Linked DNA regions of Nothobranchius furzeri. The protein of the gene in region 2 interacts with the protein of the main gene of each other region in a pairwise test. Links are inferred from orthologs where the notes say so. Each region holds a gene or a part of one and is shown on either strand. Other genes may lie near its edges. The genes, in order: dok2 and kifbp.

Evidence for each region.
Region 1: the proteins of kifbp (region 2) and dok2 interact in a two-hybrid assay, tested with the Homo sapiens proteins (2 studies listed by BioGRID and IntAct). The two-hybrid records come from large-scale screens. The link is inferred for Nothobranchius furzeri from reciprocal best matches to the Homo sapiens genes KIFBP and DOK2.

What each region holds. Positions count from the first base shown.
Region 1 is NC_091750.1:36,300,005-36,302,563, forward strand, and holds the end of dok2 (docking protein 2), read left to right. Parts: intron 1-750; coding exon 751-843; intron 844-969; coding exon 970-1,773; 3' UTR 1,774-1,996; downstream 1,997-2,559. UniProt on the Homo sapiens protein: DOK proteins are enzymatically inert adaptor or scaffolding proteins. They provide a docking platform for the assembly of multimolecular signaling complexes. DOK2 may modulate the cellular proliferation induced by IL-4, as well as IL-2 and IL-3.
Region 2 is NC_091749.1:53,758,394-53,762,907, reverse strand, and holds the start of kifbp (KIF-binding protein), read right to left. Parts: upstream 2,970-4,514; 5' UTR 2,933-2,969; coding exon 2,471-2,932; intron 2,360-2,470; coding exon 2,261-2,359; intron 1,978-2,260; coding exon 1,898-1,977; intron 1,830-1,897; coding exon 1,771-1,829; intron 1,692-1,770; coding exon 1,567-1,691; intron 1,450-1,566; coding exon 1,356-1,449; intron 1,181-1,355; coding exon 1,068-1,180; intron 954-1,067; coding exon 804-953; intron 243-803; coding exon 168-242; intron 1-167. UniProt on the Homo sapiens protein: Activator of KIF1B plus-end-directed microtubule motor activity. Required for organization of axonal microtubules, and axonal outgrowth and maintenance during peripheral and central nervous system development.

The DNA.
Region 1 (2,559 bases), on a different chromosome or scaffold from region 2:
AACGGGGGCGAATGGAGACCCATCTAAAATGGCGGTTCCAGTAGGCAGCGCCAGTCCACAGGGCGTCTACGTGTCAATGTCTGTGGCTGATGAGATATCAGACTATTATGGGATTGGCTGCTCAGTTTCATTATGGTTTTTAACTGTTGTGTGTAATTAGTTTATTTTATCTTCGTATCATTTTACTCTCAGTGTGAAATGAGAGTTTTTTTGTTTATTTTTTTAATATATATTATTTCTTTATTTATATATAATTTTTTTAAATGAGAGTTTTAATTAATTAATTAACTAACTTGCTTAATTTAATTTAATTTAATTTAACTTAATTTAATTTAATTTAATTTTATTTTATTTTATTTTATTTTATTTTATTTTATTTTATTTTATTTTATTTTATTTTATTTTATTTTATTTAACTTAATTTAATTTAGTTGTTTTAATGAGACTTTTTAATGCAGATGTAATATCTCTGTTTTTATTCACACTGGGTTACAAAGAGCATGTTTCTTAGGAAAAGGCTGGGAACAAACCCGTTCCTTTTCAACACGACAGCCGGGAAATTGTTCATCTTTCAAAGTTTCCTGAATTCATCTGAATTGTTGAGTCAAATAAAGTCGTCGTTAGAGGAAAATCTGATGTTGGTAGGTCAGATGAAGCTCTGACGTACTCAGCTTTCATGATCCAGTAACGTAAACAGGCTCCTGGATGATTCCCGAAGCTCGTTCCTGACTCCGTGTGTTCTGTCTGCAGGCAGCTGATGGAGTCTACAGCATGGTGACCGAACCTCAGAGCCCTCAGATGATTCTCCACAGAGACATGGACAGCTCCAACCCCCCCCAGCTGGTAGGACACAAACCGTTAGAAGTTCACCTTCACCTGCTGGACGGGCTTCTGTGAACTTTGACCTTCTGCTGGTCTTTGCTGTAGCCATGGTGTGATCGGAATGATTGCTTCTTTCTCTGTTTTCAGTCTCAGCTGGAGCCTCCGGCCGATAAAGTCCTGACTGGAGTCAAAAGTCTGACTCTGGACACTCGAGGACTTCCCGTCCCTAGGAAGAACCAGGTCAAGATGATTTCCAGCTGCCCTCTACCCAGCGCTAGCCCAGAACCTGGATCCAACCTGACCACAGGCCCCAGCTCAAACCCGACCCCTCGCCCCAAACCGAGTTCCAGCCCAAACCCGAGTCAGACGTATTCCCACATCGGCATGTCTGGCGTCATGGGAAGGGACACCAAGAAGGACAAGAGGAGCGTCAACAGAGAGCCAGAATACTCCCTCCCCTTTGACACAATTGCTTCCAGCGTCATGGGTGACCTCCTCCTGGCCTCCCAGCATGGTCTCGGTCTTGGAGGAGAAGCTGGTGCTGACCCGTTGTACGATAGCATTGATGAGATGAAGATCAGGAACATCTTTAAGAGCCCAGCTGACTCTAACAGCAAGGTGGATCACATCTACGATGAACCTGAGGGCTGCGCCATCCCCTCAGAGGAACAAAAGGCCACACCCCCACCATCGGTGTATGACAACCCCGAGGAGATGAGAGGAGGCGCCTGGAGGTGTATGGGTACGACCTCTGACCCTACAGGTCACGAGTACCCCTACAACCCTTGTGTAGACGACTATGCTGTCCCTAAACGAGCCCAAAGGGCTTTTGTTTCACAACAAAGCTTCTCCAAAGAAGAAGAGGAGAAAGAGGAGGAAGAGGAGGAGGAGGAAGAGGAGGAGGAGGAACAATACTCAACATATGATAACGTGATGGTAAAAATGGGTTGACTAGGGGGAGGAGCCAAAGTTCAGACAGCCAACTATTCAGCCTGGAAGTATTTATGTAAAGATATCGATTGGTCCATCAGAACATCTGTCCATGAGAACATCTGTCCTTCTGTCCATCAGAACATCTGTCCATGAGAACATCTGTCCACCTGTCCATGAGAACATCTGTCCACCAGTACATCTGTCCTTCTGTCCACCAGTACATCTGTCCTTCTGTCCATCAGAACATCTGTCCATGAGAACATCTGTCCTTCTGTCCGTGGGAACATCTGTCCATCTGTCCATGAGAACATCTGTCTGTGGAAACATATGTCCATCTGTCCATGAGAACATCTGTCCATCTGTCCATGAGAACATCTGTCTGTGGAAACATATGTCCATCTGTCCACCAGTACATCTGTCCTTCTGTCCATCAGAACATCTGTCCTTCTGTCCGTGGGAACATCTGTCCATCTGTCCATGAGAACATCTGTCTGTGGAAACATATGTCCATCTGTCCATGAGAACATCTGTCCATGAGAACATCTGTCCATCTGTCCATGAGAACATCTGTCTGTGGAAACATATGTCCATCTGTCCATGAGAACATCTGTCCATCAGAACATCTGTCCATGAGAACATCTGTCCATCTGTCCATGAGAACATCTGTCCATGAGAACATCTGTCCATCTGTCCATGAGAACATCTGTCCATGAGAACATCTATCCATCTGTCCATGAGAACATCTGTCTGTGGAAACATATGTCCATTTGTCCATGAGAACATCTGTCCATGAGAACATATGTC
Region 2 (4,514 bases):
AAAATTGGAAAAATCAAATTTATAGTTTCAAATACAAATGATGTTCTATGCTGGTAAAGAATTACTGTAAGGTGTTTAAACTCCACATTCCTGCAGAGTTCCTCTACTTGTGATGTAATATACGAGTTTCAGTCAATTAAACAGAGACGGTTTCCTGCTGTGCGTACCTGCGTGACATAATTCTGTCCCACCAGAAAAACCGATCTGGCCTCCGTGAAGTCCAGAGGTAGCAAACACATGACCTGTAAGAGACGGAGGACGCAAAACAAACCAAAAACACAAAAAAGCAGTCAGCAAAGTGACTTAATAAAATCTATAGAATAGCGCCCCCTACTGACAAGGCACCCAAAGTCCTCATTAATAGTTTTTAAGATTCTCTTATTATATTAAACATTCAAACTTATATAATGAAAAAAACAAACAAAACATAATGCACAGTGAAATGAAGGAATTTGACAAAAATAAAAATGACAAAGCTACTAGGGTTGCTCGACATTGGCCTTTTGTTATCTTACAGATATCCGACATCTTCTGACTCTTAATTTCTTGATACGAACATCTCATTTCTTCTATCATGCATGCTTGAATTTTACACACTTTTTGTGTAATATTTTTTAAATACAAAATCATAATTGTGAGATTAACTTAATCCACTCCATGTTTCTTTACTACATTAACGCAGTGTGTGTGTGTGTGTGTGTGTGTGTGTGCATTTAAAGAAAATGTAAACAAAGCTTTATGACCTCATAAAACAAAGACCCACACAATAACCAACATAAAGTTTGAACTCGGGTGACTCAGACCTTTTCTTCCACACTTGCAATAGAATCAAAAGTGTCTTCAGAGCCAAACAGCAGAGCACTCTTCCTCCCTTTTTCTTCCTCCTCCTCCTGTCGTCGTCTCGCTCTCCTCAGCTCATCCTGACGATCCGTATCCAGCTCACCGATGTTGTCCTGCACGAACACCCACAAGACTTTCATACAAGACTTAAAAACCAGCGTGAAGATCTGACAGTTAGAGGAATTTATTCCGTTTCTCTGGTTTTCGTTAACAGGCACAAACAGTACCTCCAGGAGTTTCTTAGCATCCTGTAGGAGATTTAGACAATATTTAATCCAACATCTCGCCATCTCTGCTCTCTTCTGTCTGAGCTGTTCTCTGCGCTCGCTCTCCGCCTCACCTGAGTCGGACAGAAAGAGACGATCGGATGTGCCAGTGACCAAAGAGAGGAATGATAAACAAGTCTAGAGGAACAGGGTGAAGCAAGGTGAAGCAAGGAGAGGTGAAAACTACGCCGGTTTACTCGACTCTGGGACAGGCGTTTAAATAAAATGTTTTCATGAGAGGGCTCTTACTTTCCTGAGCTACGGCCTCAGACGGAACCTCTCCAGCCAAACCTGAAACAACAGTAGCTGCTGCAAGGCAATGCCTGCCCTCCATGTATCGGCCCTGAGAAGAACACCAGCACAAATGCGAGACGCTTACTAAAGTTTACAACAGAAGAATCAACATCCTTTGAGATTTTAACTCATAAGTCAACAATTTCCCGTTGCACCCAAGTGGTACCTTTGGGATGTAATACTGAGACAGCGCAGCTGCATTCAGAGCCCACTCCATCGGGTTGAACTGGTTTAACTGTAACTGTCTCTGCAGGGTGCAGTGGCAGTAGGTGGCAGCACGCTCTTTCTGACCTGAGAGACAAACGATGGTGAAACATCCATATGTAATCTAAACTACCCGGTAACGAGAACTTCAGCCACACACACTCACCGAGGTTTGTATACACTTGAGCGAGGTAGTACATGGTGTGGGTGTAGGCCAGCTCGAACCTGGTGGAAGAGAAATATAATTTAAAACGTGCAGAGCATGCTTATGGAAGCTGGGGTTCAGAAATTACCTCTTGATCCTTTCCTGGTGTGTCAGCAGGTTCTCCTCTGCACTAAAGTACTCCGTCATGTCGGTGGGAGGAGTCCCATCCTTCACGAGGCACAGAAAACACAACAATCCCAGATGTTGGGGAGGATTTGACCTCATAAAATTTCAACTGCAGTGTTTGTGATTATATATTATATATACGAGACTCATTGGCCGCGTAAAATACACAGAAAGGGTCGTGAGAAGCGTGATGACAGAACAGGAACAGAGCAATGTGGTCCTGATGAACAAGCGTGCTGCAAATGAAATGTCCAAATAAAAACAGTTCTGGATCAGCTACAGTTTGAGTGAGTGCACCAGCAGCTGCTCAGAAAACCTAACTGACCTCCTTCATGTAACGCTGGTAGATGGACTCCGCTTTTTCCAGGTACTCTTGAGCCATCTCGGTCTCATCTCGGCCAGCCCAGAGGATGCCCAGCTGGTTCTGACGGAACGGAGAGCAAACACACACACACCATCAGCTTATGTACTCACACACCTGAAATGATGCCAACTCCGCCATTACTAAACCAGATGAAACGTCATCGTTCGTTACCCTGACATTAATGAACAGCGACACATTCTCCGACGACACCCCGCATCTCTCCAGCAGCTTCATGCAGTTCATCAGATGCTCCTGCCCGGCTGACAGCTCCTCCGTGTCCACATGGTTGACGCCCAGAAAATATTCCACAGCTCCGAGCTTGGCCACTCGCTTCCCCGCTGGGGAGTCACCGCTGAAGCCCCGAGAGAAGACACCCTCCTCCTTTTGGTCGTCCACCGGCTGCTCCGTCGGTAGCTGGTCCCCGCTCTCTCCGCCGTCGGCGTCCTGCTCACCGTCACCAGCTTCTAAACTCTTCAGTGAACAATAGATTTCTCTGAGAAGTTCCCGGGCTTTGTACTTGGAACGGAACGGGTCGTTCTCTGGGTCATTTCTAGATTCTACTTCGGTGAGATTTTGGGCGTTGTTGAATTTGTCGCATATAGCTCTCCACTCATCACTATGGAAGGACGCCATGTTTGTTTTCTTCTGGGTCCTTTTATTGTTGCATTACTGCCGCCTGCTGGACGAATCTGGTCTCTACAATCAAATGACCTCAAACAAAACGGTTACTTTTTTCTAAACCTGTGAAAATTCTACGTTTTATTATAAAGAATACCAAAACAAGAGTTTATTTAGATTTTATTTTTCTCCCCCAAAATCGTTAAAGAGCAAGTCACCCCAAATCAACTTTTTTTCTGATAAACTATATAAATGTGTATGTAATCGCGCTGCAGGCACATGTAGTCAATAGTTTAGCACTTTAGTGCATTTTAGTTAAAATTTAAAATTTCTGCCTGAAACTGTCAGTGTTGTGTCATTGTCAGGTAAAAACTGCACTACATTTGAATTTAAATCTGCCATCGCTATTGGCTAAGAGGTGCCCTAAAACGTTAGGACATTCTAGAACATTCTTCTTCCGGCTCTTGGAGGGTGCAGACGCTTTTTTTCCTCCTCTCCTCCATATGTTATCCTCAAGGCCCTCTGTCTGTCTGTGTGTGCTGGGTGCATGGCTGCTTCTGCATTTTTCTGGAAACTGAAATTCACTTAAATGGATCTCGTCAGTTGGTCTCTCAACGTGATTGATAAAGTTTTTTCAACGATGAGAACAGGAGAAGGGGCTCCTGGATGCCCCGCTGGGACAGACCCAGTTGGACACATCATGGACTCCTGGAAACAGTGGAACTTGATTTGTTTATCTCAGCTGTCTGTGGAGGACTCTGAAGACGTGTGGGTATTCGTGGTGTTGGTGTCAGGTTTCCTGCTCATTGATCTTGGAGGCTACCTGGCTTACCGGAAAATTAACGAGCTGTCGAGGATTATTGGCCTGATCCCGGAGCTCAGAGATGGTTTGCACCGCGCTGTGAATTCACAGACTCAAATAATTGTCGAGATGAATCGTAAGCTTGGAACTTTGGCCGAGATTCCTTCATTGGCACAAAAGGGTGCCATCAAGGAGAGAGTGAACGAATCAGCACGGATTGGGATAGATTAATGTCCATTATTGGGATTTTGAGAGTTTGAGGACCAACAAACTGTAAGACAGAGAGGAAGTTATCTCTGTCTAGCCCCAAAACAATTTCTAATCGGAATCTGGAGCCCTTGAGCCTGCAAGGCTCCAACGAAAACTCCCCCCTCAGAAGATATATGGAATGTGCCGTCGCTATGGCAGCTCAACTCTGTCTCCTTTCCCAGCCTGGGCGGGACTGCGGGAAGGCCGCTGAAATGTTCCAGGGTCACTGCAACTAGGGCTGCAACAACGAATCGATAAATTCGATGAAAATCGATTACTAAAAGCGTTGGCAACGAATTGCGTCATCGATTCGTTGTGTCGCACAACTCTTCCAAAAGCGCCCCCCCTTCCCGCCCGCCGTTGCGCGCAGACCAGAGCAAGTCAGATCAGCGCGAGGGAGAGCCGCAGATCAGCGCGAGGGAGAGCCGCAGATCAGCGCGAGGGAGAGCCGGCAGATCAGCGCGAGGGAGAGCCGCAGATCAGCGCGAGGGAGAGCCGGCAGACTTGCGCTGCTGCGAACCGGTTCCGCATTGTTGCACAGCGATC